Linked DNA regions of Struthio camelus. The protein of the gene in region 3 interacts with the protein of the main gene of each other region in a pairwise test. Links are inferred from orthologs where the notes say so. Each region holds a gene or a part of one and is shown on either strand. Other genes may lie near its edges. The genes, in order: EIF4E2, TXNDC9, MYOG and CLUAP1.

Evidence for each region.
Region 1: the proteins of MYOG (region 3) and EIF4E2 interact in binary tests that used the Homo sapiens proteins (3 or more experiments, as listed by UniProt). The two-hybrid records come from large-scale screens. The link is inferred for Struthio camelus from reciprocal best matches to the Homo sapiens genes MYOG and EIF4E2.
Region 2: the proteins of MYOG (region 3) and TXNDC9 interact in binary tests that used the Homo sapiens proteins (3 or more experiments, as listed by UniProt). The two-hybrid records come from large-scale screens. The link is inferred for Struthio camelus from reciprocal best matches to the Homo sapiens genes MYOG and TXNDC9.
Region 4: the proteins of MYOG (region 3) and CLUAP1 interact in binary tests that used the Homo sapiens proteins (3 or more experiments, as listed by UniProt). The two-hybrid records come from large-scale screens. The link is inferred for Struthio camelus from reciprocal best matches to the Homo sapiens genes MYOG and CLUAP1.

What each region holds. Positions count from the first base shown.
Region 1 is NC_090950.1:22,233,889-22,241,506, reverse strand, and holds the start of EIF4E2 (eukaryotic translation initiation factor 4E type 2), read left to right. Parts: upstream 1-4,537; 5' UTR 4,538-4,678; coding exon 4,679-4,698; intron 4,699-5,478; coding exon 5,479-5,593; intron 5,594-6,881; coding exon 6,882-7,016; intron 7,017-7,618. Other genes in the region: cytochrome P450 2J5, read left to right, coding at 829-1,014, 1,425-1,566, 1,758-1,945, 2,761-2,902, 3,946-4,124. UniProt on the Homo sapiens protein: Recognizes and binds the 7-methylguanosine-containing mRNA cap during an early step in the initiation. Acts as a repressor of translation initiation.
Region 2 is NC_090942.1:151,319,140-151,326,821, reverse strand, and holds the start of TXNDC9 (thioredoxin domain-containing protein 9), read left to right. Parts: upstream 1-4,617; 5' UTR 4,618-4,827; intron 4,828-6,111; 5' UTR 6,112-6,431; intron 6,432-6,660; exon of another isoform or gene 6,661-6,794; intron 6,795-6,817; exon of another isoform or gene 6,818-7,303; intron 7,304-7,483; exon of another isoform or gene 7,484-7,668; intron 7,669-7,682. Other genes in the region: EIF5B (eukaryotic translation initiation factor 5B), read right to left, coding at 4,410-4,444. UniProt on the Homo sapiens protein: Significantly diminishes the chaperonin TCP1 complex ATPase activity, thus negatively impacts protein folding, including that of actin or tubulin.
Region 3 is NC_090965.1:3,753,805-3,761,445, reverse strand, and holds the start of MYOG (myogenin), read left to right. Parts: upstream 1-4,630; 5' UTR 4,631-4,681; coding exon 4,682-5,161; intron 5,162-7,573; coding exon 7,574-7,641. UniProt on the Homo sapiens protein: Acts as a transcriptional activator that promotes transcription of muscle-specific target genes and plays a role in muscle differentiation, cell cycle exit and muscle atrophy.
Region 4 is NC_090956.1:18,074,531-18,082,000, forward strand, and holds the start of CLUAP1 (clusterin-associated protein 1), read left to right. Parts: upstream 1-4,419; 5' UTR 4,420-4,574; coding exon 4,575-4,677; intron 4,678-7,470. UniProt on the Homo sapiens protein: Required for cilia biogenesis. Appears to function within the multiple intraflagellar transport complex B (IFT-B). Key regulator of hedgehog signaling.

The DNA.
Region 1 (7,618 bases), on a different chromosome or scaffold from region 3:
GAGGTTGTGGAGTCTCCTTCCCTGGAGATATTCAAAACCCACCTGGACGCGATCCTGGGAAATATGCTCTAGGTGACCCTGCTTGAGCAAGGGGGTTGGACTAGATGATCTCCAGAGGTCCCTTCCAACCTCAGCCATTCTGTGATTCTGTGGTTCTGTGAAATACTGAACTCCGCTAAAAACAGCACTCCAGTTCCATTCTTTCTCAGTAATGGTTCCTCCACAAGCATTCATGGCTATCTCTGTCCACAGACCCATTGAATCTCCCACACTAATTCTCTTTCGACAGATTGATCTGACTTTATATTAAGATTATTCAGCATCAAGCCTGCCTTGGGGCCACACTCAGGTTTTTCCTCTTAGCTTTTTCCTCGAAGGGTTCTTTAATAGCCTACTTTTCCTATGTTAGATTGGGATCCTTCCAAACCGTTCAAAAAAATAGAGAAAGTTAACATTGTTGTGGCTTTGAGAACTACAGCAAAGTGCTGACTTAAGGTGTAAGAGGGAACAGGCATTTAGGGAGAGGCTTCACTTAGAAAACATAAGGAAAGCTGTACTGTAGCAGATTTAAATCCATCAACTCTAAAAGGTATTAGTGGAAAGCAGGTAATCTGGAAAGTAACTGTATGCTAATGATCACCCTTTGCACACTTTCTTCCTCCAAAATAGATAATAAATAAAATTAAGTGGTCATTTATTTCCTATAGTTTGACAAATAATATACCTGGATCATAGCCATGGTCAGCCACGGTTCAGCTGTGAACGTTTAGGCTTTAAAGAGTAGCTAAGATGTCACGGTGTTCCCTGTACCTGTATTTTCATGTGCAGCTCTACGATACTTTCCCATCACTGTTGAAGCACTTAAGCCCTGTGTTAATGAGATCACTGGTGGCATTAAAACACCTGCAGGATCTACGTACAGTTATTAAGGATGAGATCAGGAACCACCAGGAGAGCTGGGTGCCTGGAGAGCCACGGGACTTCATTGATGCATACCTAGCTCAGATGTTAAAGGTAACAAATAACTAACTGTCTTTTGTGCAGCTGCAGCATATTTAGAATACTTGTAGCCAAGATACTTCCAGCTGCATGTCTACCTCCTCCTCTTCTTCCTTCTCAGAGTCTATTTGTTGGGATATGTTTCTTTTAACTCACCCTCAAAAGCAAAGTATTTTCGCAAAGTACTAAGGATGTTCCTTGGTAGTCACCACAGAAACAGTAATGTTTCTCTACTCTCGACTGGAAAAAAAGTGTATTGTACACTGCTGTCCTCAGGAAGATTTTTTTTAACAGATCTATATGGCTGCTAGTTTTCCAGCTTCATCAATTCACTGTGGAACCTCTGAGGCAAAAAGCTCTGTTGCTGGAAATGTGCTATGCTATTAAAACTGCTTTACATTGCATTCATTGTCTCACATCTGAAGACAAAGGATGACCCCACATCTACGTTTAAAGAGACCAACATGGTGCAAGTGATCACAGACCTCTTCATAGCGGGTTCAGACACCACCACTATCACGTTATGCTGGGCTCTCCTCTACATGATGATGTACCCAGAAGTACAAGGTGAGAAATGCATGCACCTGCATTTACATCTGTGACTGTCCTTGCGCACTGCAGAGTAATAAGCAAAATTCAGTTGTCTCCCCTGCCCAAATTTTGCAGTTTAAGATGTCTTTGGCTGTTTGAGTCTCAGCATAGAGCCTAAGTATCAACTGCCTTCCTGAATGCTCACTACTAGCCTTTTTCTTCTGCAGAACGAGTCCAAGAAGAATTAGATGCTGTCATTGGTCCATCTCGTGCAATTGAATATAAGGACCGAGTGATCTTGCCGTACACAAATGCAGTTCTGCATGAGATTATGCGTTACAGCAGCATAAGTGCCATAGGGGTAATGCGCAAGTGCACCCAGGATACCATTCTACAAGGCTTCCCTATCACTAAGGTATGTTAAAGCCACAATATTTTTTGGTATGATCCTTAGATAAAGCAAAGAAAGGCAATCGATTCTTTTTACCTTTTTAACACCATATGTTGTGCTTATATTTTGCCCCAGGCAAAGCTGAGTTTGAACAACTTGTGCAAAACTCTTCATTGTGAATAGGAGGCAGGACATTATCTACATCCTACAGTAGAAATAAACTCCTACTCAGCTTCACTATCCTTTTGCAAAGATGCTCCTTATAATGGTTTTTCTATACCAGATTTCAGGAGTTAGATCAGTATAATTATATCAGTATAATGATCTTGTTCTTCTTTAAAACTGATGCAAGTCAAAGCCAAGTAGAAAAAACAAAGAAAATCTTGAATAATAGTGTTCATAGACACAACTTATTGTATAAGCAGAATGCTTTAGATCCATATCCAACCTTATACAGGTGGTCTTCCCAATGGACAAGACCTGTGTGGCTCTCAGGGAAGATGCCTTTGAAAAAGCAAGATGAAAAGTCAGAGGTCTTGGGACTGTGAAGCCTTCAATTCAGCATTTTTTTCCAAAGTTTCTGATTATTGCAAGCACAATTTTCTTGTAAAATACTGTGCTCTGATGCTCTAGAATCAATGTTAGAAAATACCTAATCATTTCTAAATAAGCTATTCTGCAGGAGAGAGCTTAGCATGACCGTGTTTCTCATCCCATAATAATTAGATGGCACATGCATTGGGCAATTTCAAGAGAGCAATTGGCACTTTGGCAATTTATGACATTAGTGCCTAACTTTGTGAAAAAGATCCTTTTATGTTCATTTTCTCTTTCTGTAGGGCACCTTAATTTTCCCCAACATATTTTCTGTCCTGTATGACAAAGAGCAATGGGTGACTCCTCGACAGTTTAACCCTGGTCATTTCCTGGACAAGGATGGAAACTTTGTGAGCAGAGAAGCCTTCATGCTCTTTTCTGCAGGTGAGAGCAATCCTCAGTATTGCTCACAGCTTTCCTATAGTGATTGTTTCACAGGCCAAAACCTTCCTAACATTCGATCTGCCACGAGTATTTTTGTTCATTCCCATAATAAGGTCTATGCAGCAAAAGACAGAGGTGCTGATTTCAGAGACCGGTAGCAGCTTCACCTTCTTGAGGAAAAAAAACTAAGACTACCTAGTGTCTGAAATTCTCAACAAAATGAACTGCGATTGTGGAAATGAGGTAGATTGTCCCGTGGGAAAAAAATGACAAATTAAAGATCCCTCAGAGAGCAGGGGATAGAAGTCTGTTTACTAATTAAGAACTGGCTCCTGGAAGATACTGGAAATCTCTACCAATATTGATATCAGTGGACACCAAGAGGCCAGCAGATGAAGCTGCTGCATATCAGGTTTATTTATGAACAGCATCTACATATGAACAATTTTTAGAACGCACATTCCTGATCTACAGGTTAAGGATTTTCTCTGACTCTATCCATGTCGTAAGTTGGTGGAGAAACAGAAAGTACTTTGGTCAGAAATCTGATCATTAATTCTGCTGGATAGCAGAAATTATTGGGCAGAGGTTTGTAAAAAGCTATGAGAAGATTCTCTTCTCATGGGGCAATGTCTTCTCTTCTCATGTAGTGTGAGGGGAAGCTGAAGGAGGGATTATCTCCCTGCCCTCTATGAACTGTCCATTAACCTCTCCTAACACATCAGGCATTGCAGGGTTTTACTGGTATATTTTTTCTCTCCTCTTCCCATCTCGGACGCTATCCATGTCTCAGGTGAGAGACACTAGAGAAATACAGCGACCGTAGACGTTGGAAGGGGCTGTAGATCTCAGCAGCTCTGTTCACAGGGTGCCCCAAGATGAGTGTTAACAGATCTAGAGCACTTCTCTGCTTTCATACCGCAGTAAGTGGCTACACGTAGGGACTGCAAATCTCTCCTGTTCTTCTGGGCTTCACAGCAGAGATGTGCTCTTGCCTACGCGGGGGTGAAGCCCACGCATGACACATTCTCCTCGCTCCGCAGGCCACCGCGTGTGTTTGGGGGAAGGGCTGGCCAGGATGAACCTCTTCATCAGCTTCAGCAGCCTGCTGCGGGCCTTCACCTTCCGGCTGCCGGAGGGAGTGAAGGAAGCCGATGACCGGCCCATCGTGGGGTTCATCCTCCAGCCGCACCCGTACAAGACCTGCGCCATCCCTCGCTAGACGCTGAGGGGAAGAAGAAGGGATGGGCGCAGGCTGTCTGGCTGAGGGCCGCCCTGTCACCACAGGAGCTAGCCGGGAGTTTTAGGTGACATATGGTCACCCTTTATCCACCAGAGACAACTGAACAGTATGAATAAAACGGGGAAGCTACCTGAACCCCTCGGCCTGTGTCTCTCCGCACTGGGCGGCCTCGCCGAGGGCAGGGCGCCACCCGCCTTTGGCGGCACGCCCGACTCGTGCCACTCCCAGCATGGCGGCTCTGCCCGCGCTCGCCGCGCTCAAGATGGCGGCGGTTCTGCACGCATTCAAGATGGCGCCCCTCCCGAGTCGCGAGAGAGTCAGCACTCAAGATGGTGGAAGGGGGGGGGGGGGAAGCCCCTTCCTTTTGCCCCTCCCTTAGTTCCTTCCGTTGTGCTCTGCGCTTATGTCGCCGGGGGAAAGCGCGACTCTGTGTCGGAGCCGCCCTGCCGTCGGAAGTGGAGGAAGGTTTTGGAGGGAGGACTCGGCAGAGCGGAAGTCGCTGAGGTGGACGGAGGTGGCGGCAGCGAGCGACGATGAACAACAAATTCGACGCGTGAGTCGGCGGCGGGGCCGTCCCCGACCGCCGCTACCGCCGGCCCGGGGGGCTGTGCGGTCTCCCCTGCCCCCCAGCCCGCCCCGGGGCTTCCCCCCCCCCCCAGCGGCGGCGCTGCCCCGGCGCCGTTGGGGCGGGACGCGATGAGTCACCGGGCTTCGCACAGCCCCGTTCTGCCCCCTCAGGACGGCCCGGCCCGGCCCCGGGGCTCCCGCCCGGTCCTGAGGAGAGCGGGCTCGGGGGGGGTGGGTGGGTCTGGCGGCATAGGGCCTTGCTCGCGACGAGGGGGTCCGCCTTCTGGCCCCACTTCTCTCTCCTCTTTTCCGGCCCTTCGCAGGGAAGGGGGCGGGCGGCGAGACCTGTGGGGCGCAGGGTGCCGGCGTGGTGTCTGCCCGCCCGGGGGACAGTCTCCGCTAGGCTTAGGGGCGGGGAGAGCTGGGTGGCTGAGAGTCAGCAAAACTGCGGTGGGTGGTCGCCTTGTTTGCCTCCCAAGCAGTCAGGTTTTTGTGCAGCAGATCTCTGTCCGTTATGAAGTGCTTGACTTTGTCCTAAAAAGGCATTTTGTTGCAGGCTTCTGCTTAAAAGTGTGTACCTAAGGTGCTTGTGATGGGCTCTGGGCATGACAAATCCCATCCGTAGTTTTCACTGTGTAGGTTGTCAAGTGTAGCTTTCCAAGCGCGGGTGGCTCTTGTGTGACATAGGAGCTTAGAAGCAGGGGCTGATGAGGCTTCTCGATTGTGACGTACAGGACTGTCATTCATTCTTTATTTCATTAACCAGTTTGAAGGATGATGATAGTGGAGATCATGACCAGAACGAGGAGAACAACACACAGAAAGACAGTGAGAAGGAAAAGAATGATCGAGAGAAACCACAGAGTAGTACCAAGAGGAAGGTAAGGGGCTGGCACCTGTGTTCTGTCACTAGGGCGTGATGGTGGAACGCTAGAGTGTTCTCAGTGCGGGGATAAGAAGAACACGTCTTAGTGTGCTATGGTCACTTTGTATACTGTTACTGCTGTAATGAAGATGGGGGGCTGTGTTAGCATTTGTTTAACTTGACATAGCATTCGGGGTATATGATCTGAGGGGTGAATGCTCCTTTCACAAACGCAGCTAATGCTCTGGCCGGCTTTTGAATGGGGAAGTGGGGAGAGGAAGGGGGAATGACTGACTGACTGACTGACTGAGTAGTGACTTGCAGTTGGCTTTCCAAGCTATGCTTTTTTGCCATTGTTGAAATAATCCTTAAGACGGGATCTGTATGAGGGTAAAGTAGCCTAGTTAGGAAGGCAAATACCCATCCTGTTTTTTATCTTGTGCTTAGGAAGACTGTACTCTCTGAAGTAATACAATCCTTATAAACTTGCTGTAGGCTAGTGGAGAGTAGGGATTTAAACCCTACTTGCTCTTGTAACAATATCAAGTGATGCAAGGTGATGGGTTTTTGGTGTTTTGGGTTTTTTTTTTTTTTTTTCTCCTGGCACTTGCGACTCTAGGGTAAGGACTTCTCATCTACCCATTTTATGCTCTTTAGAAACCTTTTTATTGCAAGTGGATGGAGACTGGAAAGTGATCGCTACCTACTGTTAGCAGTGGGTTCTGCCAAAGCTGACATAACAAGTTTTGAGACAGACTAATCCTTCCAGAGTCTTAGGGTGTTGGTTGCTTGGGGGAGCTGCTGTCACCAGGGAGTTATAATTGCTTTTGGATCATGATTCAGTGTAAATGGGCTTTGCTCTTCTCAGGGAATGAGAATGGCTTTTTCTTTTTCCTTAATTAAAAAAATTAAGCTCTTCTACTGCCCCTTTAGTTGGTCTATCTGTTTCCTTTGAGAAACTCACAGTCAAGGACTAAAACAAAAACTTAGTAATACTGTCTTTAATTATGATGAGGGTTACTTTGCGTGACACTCCCTCAAGCATAAGTTTTGTTACTTCCTTAGCCATCCCTGTACTGCAAATTTCTATTATTCTTTTGAAATAGAGTCAGCTGCTGTTAACCTAATGGTCCATGCCAGATAGTTAACAGAGATGGTATTTTTCTATGAAAATGAGGATGAGTTGTTTGTTTTACACTCGGTAGGGGCGGGAATATGTAGACCACTGATGCCCTGGATGTTACTTTTCCCATTCCCCTTCTAGAGGAGTGAATAAGGAATAAGCAAGCTTTTCTGTTCTGCAGGCTGTTGTCCCAGGGCCAGCTGAGCACCCCCTGCAGTATAATTACACTTTTTGGTACTCCAGACGAACACCTGGGAGGCCTACAAGCTCGCAGAGTTATGAACAGAACATCAAACAGATTGGCACCTTTGCCTCAGTGAGTATGTTCCTGTTGTTCTTGTCACCTGGGCATGGTGTGGTTGTCTTGGCTGGCTTAACTCCTCTTTGTTAGGGATATGCACGTGCATGCTCTGCTCTTCGTGTTGGGCAGAGGAGAGAAAGTGATGTGCCACGATTTTACAGGTGAGATTTTGAATTGCCTGCAGCAGGTGACATGTCTAAAGCAGTTCTCCTTTGCCCTGTGCTAGATAGACATCAGTGCCTGCAGTAATGGTGGAAGCTGGAATAATAATAGCAAGTGAAAAGAACTCCTGTTTAGCTTAAATTGGATAGCTGGAGCGGAACTTGGCGGGTAAGCAAAGAGAAGAAGGGAACAGCTTTTTCTGTGTGTGGAATTTGAATGCTGTGTAGTTGTACAGCCTGTTTTTTGTCTGTATCTCCACCACAAACGGTATATTTGGAACAGGCGTCTGGTCTGCTATACGTAAAAGTGGCTGATGGTCTTGTGTCCTTTAGCTGTCTGAAAGTGATTGAGGTGTGGTTTGGTGTTGCAGTGAAGTTTATTTGAAGGCAAACAGCTGTCCCTTCCCCTCCCACTCTTTTTGATGGTTTGTTGCTAGAATAACTTGAGCATACCCT
Region 2 (7,682 bases), on a different chromosome or scaffold from region 3:
CAGCTCACAATATCAAAGAGCACAGGAATGCACCTAAAGCTTAAGTACTGGAAACTAAAGAGAGCTAAGAGGAGAAGAGGAAGAAGACTCAAAGCTGGGAGAAGGGAAGAGAACCCATAAAAAGCTAAGAACATCAATCTGAAAGATTCAGATCCTAGGCAGGAAGTAATTTGTAGCATACAGTACATCTACTTGTAAGCATACAGCAACAGTCTGAGGCTTGAATTCAAAGCACAGTCCAGTAGTTTACAATAGTCCTTCTTCCCACACATTTAAAAAACACTGTATCAAACTTCCACAAAAACAGCATGGGAGAACCTTGGCGTACCTTCTGATGTTACAGCTCTCCAAGAACCAAAGCATTAGTGCACCACTCCCAGCAGGAACTAGATTACACATCAGAACACCCACTCTTCCTCTAGGAAAGCCTGGATATTCAGATGTCTTCTATTTTATTGAAAACGTTTGCTATGAAGTTCCATTTGAAAATGAACAATCAACACAACCATAAAAATTCCAAGTTGTCAATTAAGGCAACTTCCATATGGTGTAAGAGCAGCCTCTTACCATCCAGGACACCCTTCACCTTTGAAAGGGCCTCTGTAATGCACCCCACAGTTTTTCCTACTGTGACCGTAATTCTGACATTCTGGATAAATGCGTTCTTTATGAACGCATGCACAACCAAGAAGTGACAGGAGTCAACAATAAAGTCTCATAGGAGCATAACAGCAGGGGCACTGGTATATTAGAAACAGGTTGATAAGTATATTTGTTCATCTAGTAATATATATTGATAACAGGCAACAGTCCTACATTCCCATTCTTTCCCTGATCACTATAGCAGTCATCTCCCTCAGGGTCTTCTCCCTATGTATTTACATTTATCAATATTTAGCATAACGACCCCTACTTCATTCAGCAGAAATAACTAGAAAACAGAAGTCAAAGCAAAGGGGTGGGCCGGGGGAGAAGCAGAGTAAAGATGACTTGTACCTTCTGTGACTTGTCTCTATGCACCAGGAGAAAAGCAGAAAGACCTCCTTCCTTTCACCTCAGTTTTCAAACCCATATTCACAACATGGGCAACATACCACCTGCATCTTCCTACATGCTGCTTCTGTACTGTAAATTATGCCCTTGAGCTTTGCATGTTTTGGGAGAAGCAGCCAAAAGGAATATAAGGGATTGCAGCTAAAACAAAGCTGCTGGGGAAAAGGGAGGAAAGAGGAAATTATTAACTCAGCACAGTAAAAAAAAAAATTGAAATTGTAGGAGACAAAGCATGATTGGAAGCATTTAATTCCACAACGTCATTCCTTTCTCACTCTGCTAGGAACAGAATAGGGACCGATGGGGAATGTGGAAGGCCAACTCAAAGCTACAGGTTCAACTGTGTGATACATCCTCTCCTTAGAGGGAGCCTAACATTCAAAGGCAGGGGGAGCTGGGGGTGGAGGACAGGCAAGAGGCAGACAAAAAATAAAGACAAAAAAAGGTGAACTAGTAGACCAGTCTTGCATCATAAAATGAGGAGGGCACCTTTGCAGATAGCGAGATATTCCAAAATATCACTGGGCTTCTAGGTCCTTCCTCATTCCCAAACTCCTTCTTGTAAAACACGCCAAGTCTAACTTTCCCGTCCTTCTCAAATACACACCTGTGAATTCTTATTCCACATTATCCCTCCCACTACCACATAACCATGTAGCCCTGTAATATGGTATTGCCATTACCAGTAACAGGACATAAGCTTCATACTGAGTTTACAAGGCCTCAATACCTAAGCTTGTCAGGTTTGCTTTATCTGAACTCTCCTTGACCTGCCTGCAACTTTGTTTTGCCTGATTTAGCTGTAACAGCAATTTCTGTAACTGACCAGGTGTATATGCTTCATTTGTTTTATTGTTGTTTATCCTGGTATGGTACAACCTTAGTTTCATATAGAAAGCAGTAACAAGCAATTATTCTATGTAGAATAAGATATTTACAATTCTGATAGAATGATGTAGCGTAAAGAAATACAGGCCTGGTATGATAGCAGAGGCCTTGAGAAGTGGAGACACAGGATGCAGCAGAGGAGTACAGGCATGCCACGATAAGAGCTGGGGCGCAGGCTGGCACTGGTGACCCTACAGCTATAAACAACTCACCAACGGTCAGTTAAAGAAATGCAGACCTGGAGCTGGACAAAACTGCTTTTAGGGGTAACAAACGGAACAAAGAAATAGTATTTAACATGTAAAAGGCACCATGTATAGTAAATATGGATGTAATGCAGAGCTGCAGACCAAAGAACAAAGGTGTAAAAGTACATAAGCAAACATATAAAAGTGATCCTAAGTGGAGCCGAGAGGGAGGAAGAATTCATCAACACAAACAATCATATTCCTCTCAATGAAGGACTCCAGACACTGACAACTTGCCATAACATGCCATCTCCACCAGAACGAAACCATCAACCTTCAAACCCAGAGAGCAGTGGAAGGAGGAGTATAACACCAGGAAAAGGAACAGAACTAAAAAGTGTGTATAATGCAATTTAAATTGCATTGTTACTCTTTCTTGATCTGTATCAACTACATTCGGACTAATAACGATTACATCCTTAAGATTTCAATTATCCTAACAATAAACGTTTGGCTTTACTTATAAGGTGTGCTTCCTCTTTGCCCACAAATAAGAGAGTATAATAGCCAAGAGAGGCTCCTGCCCAGTAATCTACAGATGCACAGAGAAATACAGGATGAAAACAAGAAATCTGGTAGGCACTAACACCCCAGAAGTTTCCAATGATAGCAGTTGGTGTGCAGGGGAAGTGCCCCGAACAGCAGCATTTCTGTGTCTGCACAATAGTGGCATCTTCTCTATCAGATGTGAAGAGCAGCACTAGGCCTCCCTTCCTTTATAGGGCAAAAATCCAAGCTCTTCCTCTTCTTTCTCAAATCACACCTGACTCATCTCCTCACCCAGAGTCATTCCCAAGGTACGCCCGTGCAGTACAGCTAGTGAGACAAGCTGATAACAGTATATACTACAAAGTAACATATGGTACAGCAAAAGCTGGGAGAAGAAGAGTCAGACCAGATAGATCTTCACTAGCAAAACAGTCATTATCCAGAAAGATAGACCAGAAAAAAGTAGAACAGTTTACATTCTAACCTGGAGAAGGATAACCTTAGCTTAAACTAACATTTCTCTTAATGTTTTAATGCAATATACATCTAGACAGTCAAAAATGCTTAGAGAGAAGAAATAAAAAATACAGTTTTTTTTAAAAACACTAACAACAGGCAGCCATACTTCAAATAGAAAAAGGAGAGGGGCAGAAACCACAAAAAACACAAGTTCGTGAAAGAAGCTTCTTTGGGCACTTAAAAAAAAAAAACACACTTATTGAGTTAAGAAGGACACACAGAATGAGCAGCTGGGGTAAGAAGAGAAAAAAACACATACAAACTGTTTCTAATCTATACATATTTTAAGAGTTTCTCATTTAACTCCCTGTCAGTATTCAGAACTAAAAACACTTTGTAAATTGAGTACATATTTGTAGTATTATAATGACAAGTAACAATGTGCACTAACCTACTAATTTGTACATACGCAACATGATTCAGTCAGCAGTGATCCATATGGTAAATATGACTGCCTTTATAAAAATCTTGGGAAAAAAAATAAAAAGTGAACTGACAGGACCATCTCCAAGGCAACATGCTCACAGCTGTAGAGGAGATCCTCTTAAGATATTTCTGTGATTGCGAAATATTACTACCACCTGCACTTATTAAACACACGGAAAGCGCAAAGATACAGTGTAATCTACAGTATTTGGTCCCATTAAAAAAACAAAACAAACAAATAAACAAACAAACAGATCTGGGGGGCTAAAACTGAATCAAGGAGCTGTTTTTAAGCTAGCGTCTGGAACCTGCGCTCGAAAACCGCGTTCGCCACCACATGCTCCCGCATAAAATCCTCGGAAAGCGACTAACACCCAGGGAGGCACCTCTTCAAAGGCAGCGCAGCAGCCGACGAGCCGGCAGTCACCACTACTCAGGGGCCACGCCGGCGTCAGCCACCCTCCTTCCCCTCGGCCGCCCCAGCGACGCCAGCGGCGGCCCCAACGGCCGCCGGTCCCCTCCCCCCCGGCCCCGGCCGCCCGGGCCTACTCTGCCCGGCGAGCCCTCACGCGCGGCTCGGGCCGCTGGCCGGCGCTAGGGCCTGGGCGAGGGGCACCGCCGCGCCCGGCAGCGCCAACGGCCGGCGCGGCGCCGCCTCGAGCGAGGCCGCGAGCCCCGGCGGGGCCTGACTCAGCGCCGCAGCGCCGGCCCCGCGCCGCTGTCACCGGCCCGGGAGGAGGAAAAAAGAAGAAGGGGGAGGGGAGGGGGGAAAGGGCCCCGCCACACCTGTCCTCGCTCTTGTTCTTCTGCTTCTTGCCCATGGCGGCGGCGGCGGCTCCCCACGCTCGTCACCGGCCCCCGCGCGCGCCGGCCGGCCGCCCGCACCCGCGCGCAGCGCCGGGCATATGCCGAGCCGCCTCCCTCAGCCCGCCCCACGCCGCGCGGCGCGCAGGCGCCCTGGCTGCCCCCGCCCCGCGCGCCCTCCCGGCCTGCCGCGCGCCGGCACGCGACGAGCGGCCGCCGGCACCGCGCCGCCCTCCCTCCCTCCCCCTCGCTCCGCGCGCCAGCGCCCCCGCCGGCCGGAGGTGGGAGCCGGCGGCCCCGCGCGGGCCGGCGGGTGCGGGTACCGGTACCGGTACCGGTACCTAACCCGGCCCGGCCCGGGGCGGAGGTGCCGCACTCGGGCCCCGAGAGGCGGCTGCCGGTAAGGAGTCCGGGCCGGGGGGTGCCCCGGAGGCGCCAAGAGGGTGTTGTCAAGGGCCGGTGCCGGCAGGAAGAGAGGCCCGGGCGGTCGCCTCACGCCCTGCGGGCTGCCGGCTGCTTGCGCCTGTTTTGGGGGCTTCGCAGGCACTGGCTTCTCGAAACTGGTTTCGTTTTCAACCATTTTGGTCTTCCGACGGCCCCGGAGAATGACTTGAGTAATGCCCCGGCTTTGCAATTTCCCCGACGCCCTGCTGTCTCCCCAGAGGGCTGCCCTGAGGCCCACAAGGCCTCACAGGACTGTCCTGGCTGGCCGTGAAAACCGACTGAACGGCCCAGATAAAAGGAACATGGTCGGAAAGCTTTTATCTGGGGGTAAACAGGACAGCTAGGTCAGACCGAAAAAGCAGGGAGATTAAGTGGAAAGCTTTTAGGGTGTGCTGGGACAGCATATGGGGGCCACTTACTGGATGATAATTCTAGTGTGAGGCATGTTCATGGACACTGCCTGGTATAATTATTACCCTTTCTCTCTAAACGCAAGCTGTTCTTTCCCAGCCTTCTGCAGAGCTCTGCCCGTCCCTGATCCCTGCCACTTCCCCGCACCAGAGCTGAACTGTAAACAACTAAAGTCCACCATCTGATACTGTGGTGACTGGCCTCCAGCCAAAATGAGGGTCAGAGTAGGCGCAGTTAGGTTTCACAGCTCAGCACAAAGGCAAACTGACTGTCAAGCTCAGCTTCAGAGAAACCAAGTCAACAGCAGTGCCAGGGACAGAGGTTCCAGCCCGGGGAGATATGGCGGCGAGACCACACCAGCAGAACGATGTTTCCTGCCTTCGTTCTCGTTGTACAAAGCTCTTCCTCCTTCCTGCCAAAACACTTGATAGCACTAGAACTAAAATGGTGCTGCACTCTCTTACAAGAGAGTCTGGAGTACCACTTGTGCATTAGAAGATCAGTAAATTCAAACAAATATTAAAACCAATGTGTATATTATGATACAGGGGCTCCCAGTTGCAACCCCCTCTCTTCCTGGCCTAACTCCTCAATAGCAAAGCAAGATGGAGCAGAAAGACCACCAATCTGTTGCAGTAATCACAGACATGGAGCCATCTAATACACTCTGAGAGTGGCACATTTTTGTTATTGTCATTATCCAGTAATGGTAGTAGTTTTTCCTTTTTTGGCCCGAACAAGCCTCACTCTTCATCTTTCAGTCTCAGGACCTTTACCTTGCCTTACTCCCTAAAATCCTTGCTTCCTACTTCCTTCTCCCTTTATACAGCTACAGCTCATCGCCATCTCTCACCCTTAGCCACAGTGGACTACAGATAAGACCAGAAGTTTATCTTTCCGCCTTATCTTTCATCATCAACATGCTCCAGTTCTGACGAATCCAGAGATCCAGGAAACAAGGAAGCAAAACACTTTTTTTTTTTTTACACATTTTAATAGCTCATTATTTAGCTGTGGTAAGTCGTCTGCTGTACTGGCAAGAAGAACAAAGGCATGACATGCCCCGGCTAGTCAAACACAGCCGTCTTCTAACCGAGATCGCCTCAGTGCTCTGGCGGAGCCCTCCCGTCGCCAGCCCGGCCCTTACCGGTAATCACAGCGCCGCTCGAGGGGCCCAGCCCCGCCGCCGCCCTCCGCGGCTCCGCCTTCGCCCCACACGCCCAGCCCTGAGCAAAGTCACCGTCACCCCGAGATGAAACCCCGAAGAAACGCGGCCTCCCGCCTCCCCCTTCAATAGGCCCCGCACACCGCCGCCATTACACCGCCCTCCCCCCCCCGCGGCGCGAGACAACGAACCGCCCCGGCGCGAGGCCGCCCCGCCCCAGGAGACACGCCCCTTCACGGCAAAGCCCTGCCCAGAGCAGCGTGCGGCCTGGAGGCCAGCAGCCTAGAGAATCACTGCTTCCGCCTGCCAAGGGAGCCGCGCTGTACCCCGAGACGCGTCTCCTCTCGGTGGGGAAGGGGAGGGGGAAAGCGGAGAGAGCCGCTGTGCATGCCGGGATGGGCGCTGTTGCCAGGGGGACGAGACACGGGTGGGAAATGCATGCCGGGAGGTGTACTCCGCCGAGGGAGGGCAGTCGCAGTGCGTACCGGGAGAGGTAGCCCCTATGAGGAGGAGCTTCGGTTTGGTGGGGGGGGGGGGAAGCTGCCCCTGGCTAAGTTCTGCCCCAGCGTGTCCCTCCCGAGGGGCGGATACACGACCCCGCTTCTCTGTAGAGAGCGGCGAGAGGCCGCCCCAAGGCGCTGCGCATGCGCACCCGCACGGGGCGCAGGCGGCGGTCGGGGCACGTCGTCGCACAGCCAATGACAGCGTCGGGAAGCTCTGCGTGCGCGTGCACGCCACAGTCCGCCCTCTGTCCTCGCGTCCCCCTTCCTGGCTCTCGCGAGACTCGGGCGGGGCGGAGCCGGTGTGCGAGCCGAGCACGCAGCCGGGCGGCACCAGCGGGCGCGGAGCGGTCGGGGTGAGTGGCGGCGGCGGCGATGGTTGCGTTTGTGGGCATCGACCCTTCGTGCCGGGCTGCGGGAAGGGGGCGGTGGGTCCGGCACGGCGGCCGGAGGAGAGGGGAGGGAAGGCTGCGCTGTGGCCGGCGGGGCGAGCTTGTCAGGAGCTGGGCGGCCGCGCCCCGGGTGGGTGGGCCACCGTTGTTTGTAACGGCCCCATGGAGGCGCAGGGCGCCTGCGCATTCCCCCCTCCGCTCCACACACACACCCCGGCGCGGCCTGCTCTGCTCCCCTCCGCTGGCGCCGGCCGGGCCCCCGGCGTCCTGTCTCGGCCCCGAGGACTGTCCCAGTGCAGCCCGCCCGCAGAGGGCTCCGGGGCGGGCAGGCGAGTGCACCCTT
Region 3 (7,641 bases):
GCTCCACCGCTCTCCCAGCTCCGTCCTTATGCCAGTGGCATGGAATAAGCACGTCTTTTAGCCTGGGCAAGCTCAGCCCTCATGGGGCTTGTGCACGGCACTGCACAAACCCTCTCTGATTGCTCTCCCAGCCCAGTGGAGAACCCAAACTGGGAAAACTGGCAGATATGGGTCAGGAAGGGGCTGCTGGCTGCTCCTGCCACCACTGTTCACCTCCAAGCCAGTGATGGAGAGCAGGAGACAGTCCCCCATCACTACCCACAAGCAGACCTAAAAACAGTCCTGAATCCCCGGCAGGTTGGGACCTGGCCACGCGATGCCTGTGGCTCCCAGCTCGCCGCAGGGCAGGCTCTGAGCGCGGGTCGCCGGCTGCTGTGGCCCCATCGCGGCCGAGCAGCTGTCGCCATCCCAAATCTGCGGTGAGCAGGCACGTCGGAAATCCCGGGTGTCCAAGGAGAGGTCTGCTCTGCATTCCTCGCCTGGGCCGCGGGGGAGCGGGGAGAGGGCCAAGCATCCCTGAGCTGCCTGCAGCTGCTCCCAAATATGTTATGACTTGTCACTGCGGCAGGAAGGGATGGCGGCAAGCCTGGAAAGCAAGAAGGGACATAGGGCAGTGGGGTGCGCGGGGCGATGAGTGGTTGGTCCCCGGTTGGTCCCAGCGCTGGGGAAACTTTCCTTGCATGTTGGCCAGAGGAAATGGCTTTTTCAGGAGACTCCTTTCCTGCTCAGAAATCCTCCCTGCTATTCAGCGGGATGGTCTCTTTGCTGGATCATGTCTCCTGCTCAAAACCCATCCCCACTGTCTTTCTTCCTGGGAGCGTTGCCCATGGCCTTCGGGGTATCCAGGCTATCTCCATGACCCGGTTTGCTTCCAATCCCAAAATCTTACTGCTTTTTCTGCCCTTTCCAGTGGAAGGAGCTGACTGGCACTAAACACACCAGCTGCCATTAGCCCTCCCGCACAGCGCCTGCGCATGCAGCACCACGCGCTGGATGGGGATGTGCTTGTGGGCTCTGCTGAAATGCAGAAAAGCAAGCCTCAAGGGGCTGCCCTGCATCCTTGTCCTCAGACCTGTGGAGAGCCATGGCCCCAGCTGTGGCACGAGAGCCAGGACAGGGAGAGCAGACCCCAAGGAGCAAGGACAAACCTTCCTCGTTGGGGTTTTTCTCAATGAACTGGTATTTTTAGCCTGGGGCTCAGCTTTGGCCTCGTGGCTGCTTTTCCCCGCCGGCTCCAAACGTGCGGGACACTGTCACAAGGCCCTTGAGTCCTCCCCCCTTTTACCGGGGGAAGGTCACCCCGTGACAGATCGCAACACGTTCTCACTGGCGCGCTCACAGCGTCTCCTTTGTGTGCGTCCCAGCCGCGACCATCCATCACGGGCTAACCTGACAGCAGACAGCAGAGCCCTAATCCCCTGGCCAGCTCCGAATTACCCAGGGCGCAGCCTGCAGCAAGCGTGGGCAGCAATGAGCCCCGGGAAAAGCCTCCCTGCTCTGGCCATCCTGTGGCCCAGCAGCAGTGATATCCTGGGTGCCCAGGCTGCTGTTGGCTAGCAAGGGAGTGCCCAGAGAGCCTGGACCCTGGGGGTCCCTCGGTGCCTTGGAGAAGGGAAGACACCCACTTGCCCAGTGGTGTGGATGCATGTGCTCACTGGGCTCAGGAACCCCAGACCTGGCTATATCCTTGCACTGCGTCCAGGAATAGGTCTCACCTCAGCAAAGAGGGTCTCAACGGCACCTCAGATGGAGGAGCAGCTGTGTGGTGGGGTGAGCACAGTGTTATCCTGGATCCCTGTATTGCTGGGAACGACCTGCATCAGACACCCGAAAGGAGCTGGGCTGACTCCAGCCCTCTGGGCTCCTCTCCCAGTGCGGGATCCTACTTCCCAGGCCCCCCTGCTGGGACTCACTGGTCTCTTACTGGTGGTCTTTCCACCCCATCTCTGGGGACTGATGCTTGCAGGTTGCCTCCTGGTGCCGCCGCTTGCTCAGCCATGAGGAACCTTCCACCAGGAGCTAAAAGGAGATACGGCTGGTGCATCGGGGCCACACTCAGCCCACTTCTTGCCCCGCTCCCTGCCTTGCTGGGGAAAGCCCACTGCAAGTGCCAGCACCTGCTCAAGTGATGCTGCCCCCATTTTATGAAGTGCTAAATGCTTGACGGGTCTGTTGTATGGGCCTGCCACATGTCCCACAGACCTCTAAGCCTGTTATGTCACTGCTGGTTTCTTTATCCTCCAAACACACCATCTCAATTTAAAAAAAAAATCCATCTATATAGCAAAGCCTGAGTGGTCCTACGGGCTTCCCTTCACCAGGGAGCCAGGGTTGAGCTGGAGGAGCTCAAGATTGCATCCATCAGCAATTCCCAACGATAAAGGTCCACATGAGCAAGGTAAATTTCTTCTCAGCTAGTTATGTAAAGCTCTTGGGTACAGGTTATCCTCTTGTCACAGCTTTGTGCCCGCAGTTGTCCCTGACTATTGTAGTGTAACGTCACTGCAGCCCAGCCAACATCTTCGCAAACTTTCAGGGACATCACTGTTTTACTGCTTTTACCTAATGCATGGGCCAGGCTGGAGCTTTGGTTTCTTTCCTTCTTGTATATTTAAGGGATTTTACTTGATGCCAGCGACTGCAAGGTTTACACTGAGGCCAGGCTGAACTCGATGCTGCAGTTCCTGCAGTTCCAGTAATTTATAGCTGTAAAAGCATAGGCTAAGAAATCCTTGTGGATATGATGTCCCCCAGACCCATGGTGTGCAGAGCTCGGTCCTTCAGTCCAAACCCCGACAGGACCCCAATGCTCTCCATTGGATGGCAAATCCCTGTTGCTGAGACCTCAAGAGAGCTGAAAGTGGGTGTAGGTCACATTTTAAGGTTCTTAGGCCCAAAGAAATCACTGCCATGAGACCAAGCAGGTAGGAGGGTTTGTAGTGGGCATTCCCGTTCACCTGTCCATGCTGGACTAGCCAGACTTGGGGGGCTTTGAGCGGACTGGGCGCGAGGGGAAAGCCCTTGGTGGAGGTAGGAAAGATTGCACTTGGCTTGGGTGGTGGTTGACCCCCAGCACAGGCTCCCTAGGCAACCCATTTTTAGGAGCTGACAAGATGCTGCCTGGCAGTGGTTGGCGCTGGCAAATGGCCAGTCCTTGGTCAGAGCCCTCCCTTTATTGAGAACAGGTTCAAAAGGGCCAGTAATCAACCCAAAGTCACTGAGGGTGCAAGCAGGCGGGCCGGGGGAATGCAATGTGGCATGGCCTCCCCGGGGAAGGGGATTTGGGGAAGGAAAATCTCATCACGTTTTGCCCTTCTCTTTGCTGACATTCTTTCCACTGACCAATCCCTCAGCTGGAATTTGGCCTGGAGCAGGAATAGGAGGAGATAGGAGATGGTTTCTTCTGTTCCCAGTGGAAAAAACTCCTCTGAATTAAAGACAAAGCTGGAGAGACACAGTCCAGAGGAGTCCAGAGGCTGGAGTCAGCAAGGAGGACAGGGAATAGGTTAAAATCCCAACTCTGCTCTTGGTCTTACAGGGCCCGTTGTTGTGCCTTCGTTTTTCCCATTGGCAAGGTGGGAATGATGTGCCTCTGCCAGGAAAGACAGGTATGGCAGGATTGCCTTGGCATCTGGGCAGGGGCTTTTGCTATACACACGTCCAGCACCTAGCACTGGAGGCTAGCTTAGATTAGTGATGGTGGAGGAAGGACAGTGTCAGGATGGGAGGCGACCAGGACCAGGCCTGGTTCATCTTCCAAGCTTGGCCAGATAGAGGGTCCTGGGACAAGCAGGAGATGGTGTTCTTTGGTTTTGGTGCCCTCTAAGAGCCCTGGAAGAAAAGGAATTTCATGCCTAAAACGCTGCTCTATGTCTGGGCTATGACTCAGCCAGGGACCTTTGGGAAGACTATGGCAGAGGAAGGATTTGCCCCAAACTCACCACTGAGCCCTCCCGGCTGCTCTCACCTGCCTGCAGTGCCTCTTCCTCCCAGGGACAGAGGGAAAAGCCCAGCCTTGTCGAAGCCTGGGGCAGGAGGGCGGCACGGAGTGGAGCGACACTTTGGGGTGCAGTGAGGCGGATGGGCACGGGGATGGGTGCTGCCTTGCTCGCAGTGCTCGTGGCTGGGCTGCTCGGGGAAGGGGCTGGGACCCCGGAAGCAGGGATCCAGCAGGATCCCATGAGGCTGAGGCTGATGTGGGGCCATCTGCCCCAGGGTGGACTGGAGCCACCCGGGTGCTGCTCTCCCCTAGCCGAGCTGTGCCAGCCCTGGGTAACTGAAAGGACCAGATGATGCAGGAATGCGGGACGGAGCTGGCAGCCCCACGACCACCCGCCATCCACGGCGGCACCCAAAGGGCTCAAACGAAGCCCTTGTTCACAGGGCGGCCGAGTTGCTTTTCCCGACGTGCCAGCTTCCCCGGGCTCCCCCTCCTCCCCGGCACGGCCGCAGCCTGGCCCGGGCAGCGTAATCCCTGCAGGGAGAGCACATGAAATCAGATGGACAAGTTTTGATGTGAGGCAGCAGCTTAGGGCAGGCTCAGGTTTCCTTTAGGTTTTCTATATTTATCTCCGTGATTTAATGCCAGCGCCGGGGTTTAAATGGCACCAACCAGTTGGTGTGAGGAGACGGAGCAGCCATCCCCAAGCCGTGCACACGTCTCCCCGCTGCCTGCCCGTCCATGGAGCTCTTCGAGACCAACCCCTACTTTTTCCCAGACCAAAGGTTTTACGACGGGGAAAACTTCCTGGGCTCCCGCTTGCAGGGCTATGAGCCAGCGGCTTTCCCGGAGCGGGCCGACGTGGCCCTGTGTGCTGAGGGCAGGGTGGGCATGGAGGAGAAGGACTCAGCCCTGCCTGAGCACTGCCCGGGGCAATGCCTGCCCTGGGCCTGCAAGATCTGCAAGCGGAAGACGGTCTCCATAGATCGGCGCCGGGCGGCCACCCTGCGGGAGAAGCGCAGGTTAAAAAAGGTGAACGAGGCCTTTGAGGCCCTGAAACGGAGCACTTTGCTCAACCCCAACCAGCGGCTGCCCAAGGTGGAGATCCTGCGCAGCGCCATCCAGTACATCGAGCGTCTCCAGACCCTGCTCAGCACCCTCAACCAGCAGGAGCGGGAGCAGAGGGACCTGCGCTTCCGCGGCACGGCCACCCAGCCAGGGGTAAGTACCTCTGCTCACCCTGGGGTGCGTGACCCTGGGGTCCCCAGCCTTGGGCTAAGGCCACCACCGGCCTGGGTAGTGGTCCCAGAAAGAGGCACCGCAGCCGGTGCCAGAGCATGGGGACAGGGACCCAGAGGCAGCAGACCCAGCCCTGCCTCTGGTGGGAGCGGGACCTGGACCCTCCAGCCCTCGGGACAGCAGAGCTGAGGTAGACAATGTGACCACAAGCTGGCAGATATGCCCTGCACGAGGCAGCAATGATCCAGCCCAAGCCATGCTCTTGTATCCCCAGTCAAAGCAGATCTATAGCTCTCTTTCCCTATAAACACACATACATATTTATATATGTATGTAGAGTAGGCTGCGTGTCCAGTGCTGGATACTGTACAGAGCGTGGCACATGTGCCCTCACTCACTAGAGCTAATAAAGGTATAAATAAAATAAAATAAAATAAAATACCCTCAATGGCCATTGTGGCGTGTCCCGAGCAGGGGGCAGGGTGAAAGGGTGGGGGGGCTGGAGCGGAGCCACCTGCCGAACACATTTCTTGGACCGAAAATGCCAGTTTGAGAGCCGGATGGGGATGCTTGCAGAGGCCGTGTCTTGCCCTCGGGGCTGTTGGCCCCAAGCAGACACATACTGTAAGCCAGGGCCCTTAAAATCACGAGATTTTGGTGGTTTAACCAGATTTGGGGGAGGGGGGGCATTTTTAATCTACCCTCTGATTCCTGGGGGGGGGAATATGTGGGCATGCTTTTCCCTAATGCCCTAAGGGTGACAAATGGACTTTATAAGAGGCATGGAAAATTGGGATTCCCAGAGATTCATCTGATCCAGTACCAAGGGATTTAAGGGAAAAATAATCGGATATCAGGGTAGCCCAGTACAGTACATTTAGGGGCTGCGTAAAGGCCTGAAAACAGTCTTAGGCATCACTATAAAAAATTCTTAGGACTTCCCAGTATACACCCAAGCTATATATATTCATGTTGATTTGATTCGCTTGGATTTTTCTGCTGTCCCTGCAAACGTATTGATGCAAAGTGCTTGCCTAAAATACGACCCATGCTGAGCAGTTCCTGCGTAACTGCTCCTCCTTGCGGTCTCCTTCTCCAGCTGTGACCTAGGGAGAAACAGATAATTCACGTAATGAGTGTGAAATCCAATATTTTTGGCCAAAACAAAAAAATCATATCTGCATGAATCTCCTATTTTAGTGAGAAACAAACCGAAGTGAAAATCATTTTCTCATCCTGCTGCAGATGGACTTTATTTCACTTTGTTTCCCTACAAAACGGAAAGCCCAACCAGCCACCTAGCCTAATGTTCACGTGCGGTGTGAAATTTCAATTCAGTGCAAAAGCCTTGCAGAGACAAGCTGCGGTCGTTTTTCTCTCTCCACGTCGGCAGTCAAGATACGCTAGCGACCCAAAATTTGGAGGTTTGCCAGCTAGCTCCCCAGCAGTGGGTTACTGTGGACTAGCTCTATCTAGGTGCGATATCTACCTCCATTTTCCTCCCAGAGTTGATGCGGCAGTGATTTTGTATCCCTGCTACAAATGGCAGTGCTTTGGGGTTGCTGCAATGCAAAATTGCATTTCAGGCTCAACGCAGGCCAATAAACATCCACTCTGAGACTGAGAGATGGAGACAAAAAAAGTTAATCCAGCACTTTACTGAGTAACTGTCTCATTTTTTAGGTTGTCACTTCCCAGTGAAACATCCATTTGACCCAAAACCCACAAATCAAAATACCAAAATCAAAATATCTGCTCCCCAGAAATCCCCCTTGTGATCGTCAGAGGAGTTCCAGCCCGTATGACAGCTCTGTTAACCTGATTAGGTGATTTTTTTCAGTAAAAGGCTGTTTTGCCCAAGGACAGGCGTCCATCTCCATCCCTTTCTCCTGGTCATTGCATGAAAAGACACTTTTTCACCTGTAGTGAGCCAACGGCAGCATTTTTCACTCGTTAACCACAGTTCCCAGAACTCCCCAAAAAGTTTCTCAGCCTTTTTGGTTGTTAACCAAGCAAAAAGATGTCCCTTTTCTCCCTTTCTAAGAGCAAACCGCTGCCAGCAGCCTTGAGCCCAAGGTTAATCCCTGCAGGTTGTGCTGGACCGTGGTGCTGGGGGTGCTCGGAGGAAGCAGGCAGGGGCATGGGCTCACCATGCGGGGACCACGCTCGTGCAGGGACAGCCTGTCCCGGCTCCCCCCAGTGCCAGTGGCAGGCTGCAATCGGTTTCAGGGATCCCGAATGCTTTGTCCACTCCTGCCAGCGGCTTTGCGGGGAGGGTGGTGAGAGATGAGTCCATCTCCTCATGGATCTGTGCCAAGTCTAAGAGCAATGGGTGGGCCCCGGGGTGGGGGTAGAGGCAGCGATGCCCGCAGTGAGTATCTTGGACCCTTGCAGGAGGCTGGTGAGTGCGGGTCTGGCAGCTCCTCCTGCAGCCCCGAGTGGAGCACCCAGCTGGAGTTCGG
Region 4 (7,470 bases), on a different chromosome or scaffold from region 3:
CAAAATGCCAGCGCGTATGCCCAGATATATATTGCTGCAGCCACCCTGGGCTTAGCAATGAACCGTTATCTTTAACCTCTGTCTCTCCTGACCCCGCTCCAGGTGAAACGACAGCTAATCTACCGTTAAGCTCAGGCTGGGTAATGGGCTGGGCTAACACAGGTGTGATCTCTTAAGGGCATCTTCATCAGCTCGTTCCACTGACTTTGCTGGGACTATTTATGCGATCTCTGGAGGGATGGGTGGTAGATTGGGGAAGAGGAACAAGGGGGTAGCTTATTCTCCAGAAAATCCTTTGCAGGAAAGCTGAGTAGCTTGAAAGGTCTCATTCACTGCTGGCTAACATGTATATTTGCTATTGCTCTAGGGAATAAGAGGACCAATCCTGCTCGAAAGGCATGTGGGCTCCTGCAGCCTGTCTCCTCCCTCCCTGTGGTGTGGCCTGGGGCCATTCCTGAAGCCTCGCTGCGGAAGCGGAGGAGCGAGAGGTGGGCAGGCTGCATGGGCTGCTGCGTTAGGGCAAGCCGTGCACGGGATACGTGCTTGTAAAACCGGGAGCGCTTGTCCCTGAAACACGCCTCTCCCTCAGCCTCTCTGTGCGAGCCGGGCTGTGTTTATTTTTATTCTACCGGCACTAATACCCCAAGTGGTTTGTCTGGGCTTTCTTAGCCTGTAGCGGCTGGCAGAAGAAGCTGCGCTGGAGCAGCCGTGCTCAGAGGTAATCGCGTTCCCCAAGGGGAGCTGGCACAGGCTCTTGAAGCCGCGGCAGCGCGGCAAGCCCCGTCCTCGCTTCCCTGCGCTCTCATGGCTCAACCACTTCGGAGGGTGTTGAAGTTTTATATGACTTTGACATCTCTCTTTGCAAAACAGAGACAAATAAATAGTGACTGAAGAGGCTGCCTTGTTTTAGAGTGTATTCTGAGTCCTTCCTAGCCTCTCAGCTGTATCGAGTTGGGTCTCTTGACAATTTGTTGTATAATAAGATGGAAGAAAATGTGTTTTTCCCCAGGATTGTAATCTGCATGACTCACTAATGCTCTAGTGAGACACTGGAGTCCCTCAGACCGGCTGAGTTAGAGGAGCGCTTTACCTCTCCTTAGCACCTCTCACCGGCAGATCCAAAGGGCTTTAAGGAGACGATAACAAGGATGACAACCCTCCTTGTGATAAGCAATATGTTTTAGTTGGAGAAAGGGAGGTGCTGAGCCTGCACGTGCCCTGCGTTGTGTCACGGGGCAGGAGTGACAGTCCCCAAAGCCTAGCTACTGCTCCTGTGCTCTGCGTGTCAAGATGCATCTTCTCCAACATCCCTGTGAGGGAATTGTCCTGAGCCCACAGGTTTGCAAGGGTCCAGTGTGCCCGTTACCATTTTGCAGGACACTGGGCTGTTTAGTTTAATGGTGCTTGCTGTGAAAACGCACCCCTTTTCCTTGCTCTGGGGAAAGCGAAGTCAGACTCGCTGGCTTCTTCCCTTCTTACCAGTTTGTGGCATATATGAACACAGTAGCTCCCAATTAGCTGGTAGGCTGGGAAGGTTTGACGCTGGTCTCTGTTACGATGTTAACGGAGGCTGCTGTTCACCGTGCTTCTCTTTCTCTTGCCGTTTGTGGGGAGATGACTACCCTGCTTAAGCATGGCCTCCTGCACCCCATTGTCCCTTGAGGCTTGAACACAGAGAATCTGGGCAACTTGGCACGTGCTATTGTTCATTGGGCTCTCTTTGGCACTGGATTTTTTGGGGAATGTACAAAATCCTTAAAAATGCTGTTTTGGAGTGTATGTCTCTATAGCTATTAATAGATGCTGTGGGCTGGGCTGCAAATGGCCCCTTTGATTCTGACGTATTAGTCAGAGCTGCTTTTGCACGACTCGGCCTCTGATCATAGAAAGGCCAATTAATTAGTATAAAAAGTTGATGCTCCATAGTTCCCTGGTTTTCTCCTTTTCTGTTCACTCTGATTTCTCCTGTTGTAGGGAAAATCTCCAGGTGCAGCGGTATGGACTCAATGCGCTTTTTTGTCTCAGTATCATGTATCTTCCAGGAGCTTTGCTTCCATGTAGGAGGACACAGAATATCTTTAGCTCTCAGCCTCATAGATGCAGCCTGGGTCCTGTGAGCTGGCCTGGGCTCCTTTCTCCTGGCCCTCACTAGCACCAGACGCTGTGCGTTGACTCAGATTTCCACGCTCCAGCGGAGTGCCAACATGCAGTGATGGGACATTAGCAAACCTCTCTGCTGATGAGGGGTAAGTAGGAATGATCCCAGGCTCCTGCTCTGCAGCTTTTCCACCCAGGAGGCTATCTTCATGTGATTCAATAAGTTTTGGACTAGGTTTTGAGGAGTATTTGCTTCTGTTTTAGCTAATGAAACCTGAGCTGGTTGTGTTGGTGTGTTTCCTGGAGCTTCAGTAGAGAGCGATCTCCGGATGTACGTATTGCCTCCTCTCATAAAGAGGCACAGACATTCTCAGCCCAAATTTTTTGATGTGACCAGAGATCTTCTAACAGCTTAAAAGCCTATGAGGGCTCCCAGCCTGCAGAGGAAGCAATCTATCACTTGCCCAGGGAGCCTTAGATCCTCGTTACCTAGCCAAGGGGCATAATAATTCCCCAAATCCCATAATATCTTCAGTGCAATAGCTTCTGCTTCAACAGCAGGAAGGTTATAAGGTCTCCTTACATCCATCGTACAACTCGGACAGAGGCATATGACACAGCCAGAGCAAAGACAGCTCCTAAAAATGTTGCTGAATTTATCTACGAGGAATAGCTTCCTCTAAGCTCAATTTCACAGTTGAATGTATTTTTGCAATAGAAAAAGGTAGCTACCAGAAAGGATATAGGGGACGGAGCTGGGTTTATTTCCAGATGAGGTCCGGCTATCGTCCGTCTCTTCTCGCAATAGTGTTCCTGTGCTTTGGGCCTAGCTGCGCTCCTCGAGGGGCGAGGGATGCTGGGCACTGTAATCCCACTGGCTTTGCTGTAAGCTGAGAGGCAGGATCCTGCAGGAGGACTCAGCAGTCCAAAGCCTCTCCTCAGCCATGGTTACCTGCCTGTGTGAAGGTGCTGGCATTATTTGGATCACAAAACACTGAAAAGCTAGTTCCCATTTCTGCTTTTTTTCACCTGTTCTGTCTCTCCTGAATTTCTGAGCAGAGAGCTAATCCATGGGGAAGACCCAAAGGGAGCCCCCTACGCCTTGAGCTTTCAGCCTCTGAAGGACAGTATGGGGGCTTGATCCAGCTACGAGATATGGGACTTCAGGGCGCTGCGACCTGCACAAGGAGGAGAGGAGCATCTTCAGGAGCCGGCAAAGGAGAACAGGAAGCTCTTGGGGGAACCTGTCAGCCAGGAGGTGATAACCTCGAGGTGGCTCAGCAGGAGCTGCCTCTGCTTTACCTCTGTGCCCTGGCAATGCAAAGCACCCAACCGGGGTGAGGTGATGGTGCTTCTCGGTGGTCCTGAGCGTGCCAGCATTGTGCGGACCTGAACAAGACGGGTGAACGCGGGTTTCCTTCTGCCAGCCTAAGAGCTGTGCTGGTCTGTCCGGTCTCTCCGCAAGGGTCTGTTAGGGGCCCTTCGCCCCGCTGCGCCCATGCTGCACGCTAATGCTGCCCGTGCCGCACCCCAACGATCCTCCCCAACGCCTCCTTGCAGCTCCTGCCACGTCCTGTCCTCTGCTCCGAGTCTCTCCTCTATTTCATTATTTTTACTTAAAATGTTTTCTTGTCACAAACCTATTTTCAGTTGTATTGAACCTAAACCAGCTGCCCTGACCTCTTGACAGAGCAACACTTAATTCTGCTGCTGAGATCACAGGTTTCTGCTGCTACGGGGACATAAAACTGCCAGACTGGCTCAGAGCTGAGGTCTATTTATCCAAGACCCTGACTTCTCCCATGAGACAAGAGTTGTGGAGGCGCTTTGGTTTAACTGCTTGATGTATAAGCTGTACAATTGCTGATGACTGCTTGATGTATAAGCAGATTGGGGTACAGAAGACAAACCCAGCTTCCTTCCTAAAGAAGTGTCCTCCCCACCAGGCTGAGGGTTTTGGGGCAGTGTCCCAGGGATTGGATCGGCTCGGACCAAGGTGCGAGCAGGGCCTGGAGCTTTCGGCCGCATGGCGACCCGCTTGTGACGCTGGTGCACGCTCAGCACAGCGCTGCCCGTGCGTCCCCTCGGCACTCACCCAGCCCTTCTCCTGCTGCCCATCACCAAGCTCCCTCTGTCTTTTTGGCCTGAAAGCATCTTTTGACGGCGCCCAGAAGGCAGCGACAATCAAAAGCTTGAGGAAAGGGCTCCTGCGCTTGCAGCACGGGTAAGCGATGCCCCGACGACGGGAACTTGCCCTCGCAGGGCTCAGCTGCTCCGCTCGGCTGCGCAGGCAGAGAGGCATTTCAGGACTTTCAATGCAATTTGACAAATCTGAAATGATTTGAAGCAAGCTGTTTCTTCTCCTGACAGTGTAAAAGGCAGTAAGCTGAAGCAGCTGCTCACTGTTTAAATGCTAATATTACTTCTGCTTTTCCCTTTGGGCTCTACTGCGAGAAACCCGGCCCCTGGCAGCAGCGATGGGAGCAGCCCACGAGCGAAGGAGGAGGGAAAGGCATGCTCAGGGTGCCAACAGGGCAAAGACGGCACCTCGGCAGCAAAAGCCTTGCTGCAACTCCACAGGTAATGAATCTATAGGATAATACAGGAAGAGCTCACTTCCAGTTACTTGTGTCCTTAGTTCTGATGGTGATTCCTCAGTTATGATTGCAGTTAGTTTCACTAATGTAGCTGTGCCAGGAAGACCAGAGCTCAGAGAAGAAGGCCTTGCCCAGTAGGGCTTACTTCACCCTTGTTCTTTATGGGGCATGTATTGCTCAGCTGGGAAAGCACTGTGTTTTGCTTGGTGAGCCCCATCTCAAAGGCCAAATCAATAATTGGTGATAGGGTTATTCCAAGCTTACTTTGACTCTCTGTCTGTGACGAGGTTCGATTAAGGCTGTGCTCGTGTTGGCTGGTTGCTCTCCGTACCCTTCCCCCTTGCATGTCGAGAGCCTAAATGCTGACTCTGCAGGAAAACACCCCAAAAGTTTTCAAGAGCAAACAACGCTCCTAGGGAAGGTGATCTGAACTTCCAGCTCCCAGAGACGCGAGGGGTCCCCATACCTCTATAAATCCAGTTGTGCTGTGTCATCTTAAGCTGGACACCCCAGAACCAGGAGGATGGGGGTAGATAAGCACTTCTGGCTGGCTTCAGGCAGGCCAGGTGGTGCTTAGCTTAGAGGAGAGCTAGCAGAGAGGGGAAAAGCAATCTTGCTTTTCACTGCATACAAATGAGTGCTTAGTCTCTTCTCCTGGCCTGTCAGGTGAAGTCTGAGATAGATCTGGAAATCTACTTGCTTGGAGATGCTTTTTCACCCTCAGTAGCTTTGTTTGCTTATCTGCTGAGTGATCAAGCAGTGGCTGTTGATGTATTACCCCTTCCACTTGATACATGGGCTGCTTGTTATCCTGGGCATTGCACTCCGCTCTCAGCGCTCTCTTTAATGCCAGCGCATTAGCAGGCAGGGAGCTGCTGTGCAATGTAATTACAGGAAACGTGACATTCCTGCATGTTTTCCTTCACCGAACACAAAGGCTGCAGATTCCCCTGGGTTCCTCAGCCCACATGGCACTTCAGGCTTCCACCAGGGACCCTAAGCCACTTCCACTTCTCTGGGTCTGCACCGTATTGTTGCAGCTGGAAGTAGCAGTTAATTTCCTCTCTCGCTTCTGCAGTGAGGGTAATGTTAAATAAAGTGGCAAGGAAGGTGGGAAGGAAGAGGGCTGCTCTTGCAACTGCAATGTTAACACCAAGGAGTCTGCAAGCCGGCTGTGTGCCAAGCCAGCCCTCGGGGGCAAACAAACCTCTGACGGTGTGGACGGGGGCAGTGAATGTTGCAGCGAAAGACAGAAAACAGCCTTTAGGTGAAAACTGATCTGTCCCGGCTGGGTAACGAGGGAGGCTCTGAGTTGAGGAGCAGAAGGCTTTTACTTGCAAGTTAGACATTAGGAAGTGGATGCAAAAGACCGAGCGTGAAGCATCTATAGGACTCTTGCATATAGCAACCAAATGGAAACTTTACACTTTCATACCATGCTTTTTCTGGCATCGGCCCCTCTCTGGGGAGTGAATTTTTCTGGCAGACTCTCTTCCGAATCTCTCAAGCTATAAAGGCTCTGTCTGTAAAGCTGATGTTCTCCTACAGCATTTATCTAACGTAGCTTGGGAAATGACCCAGCAGAAGTATTCTCAAGCATCAAGAAGACCCTGTTGTCTAAAAGGTGACTTAGACAAGTAAATTAAAGAGTACAGTGACTTCATGCTAGGGTCTCTTGGGGCATAAATGAAGCTGGAGGCTTTTTTTACCCTATTCTCCCAACAGGGACAGCACAGATGAGTTTGTTCTGTTATTCGGTGCTTGAGAAATCTCAGGAATGCCTAATCATCTCAAGGTTTTTCTCTGCCTGATTTAAAAACATCAGGAAAGTAAGAATAAAAATTACTTGCTCTTACTTGATCAGATTTTCAACAACAGAGTATGTCCTAGCAATGCCAAGACCTACAGTCGCCCCATCCCTAGGATGAAGGACTGAATTTGCAGTGCAAGAATGACCAGGTAAGACGGTACCAGAAACAAGTGGGGAAAGCATGAAACTTTTTTATTCTGCATATTTAGGAGGCAAAATCAAATCTTGCTGGCTTTTCTAATACATGGGAAAGCAGGTGGTGGGACAGCGAAAGACTAACGGTTTAGTACTTTGCACCATGCATATACTGGAGCCATTGCTTTAGGCACATAGCAGAAGCAGGGTTACAGGTGAGTGTCTCAGCATGAGACATAGTTTTTTTCACCCTCCTATGTCTCAGCCTGTCCCCTGGGAAGGTGTCTGTGGCCACTGCAGCACTGTCACTCCGTGCCCTCACGCTCCCTCTCTCCAAACTGTCCTGCAGGCATGGCTCACCTGGCTGCTGAGCACAGTTTCATTCTGGATTTTAAGGCATCAAAATCTCCATTCCAATTATCTTGCAGGGGCACCACTGCTACTCCTTCAGGCTGTGTATAAGCTGGAATGAGTCCTGTCTTCATAACTGGCCAGAGGCCCTCATCTACCTACTGTGTCCATAAGCCCAGATGTGTATCCCAAGCACGGCCAAGGTCAACCTGACTCAAAGTAAAAGTCTGCCCCATGGGAACAGCATGAAATAGCAACTTTCCATTAAACATTATTCTCTGTTACTGGGAGAAAAATCTTGTGAAGAGGGTAATCTGCAAGGTACTATAATGTAGGAAGTAAGAATTTGGCTAGAAAGGTGTAATAGCAAAGCCCTCCCCAAAAAACAGCCTAGGAGAAGAATGGTAGATCTGTTTAAAAATAAATAAAAGGATGGTGACAAGAGTTCAGAAGGCTGAAGGGACTGACACAGGGAAAGAT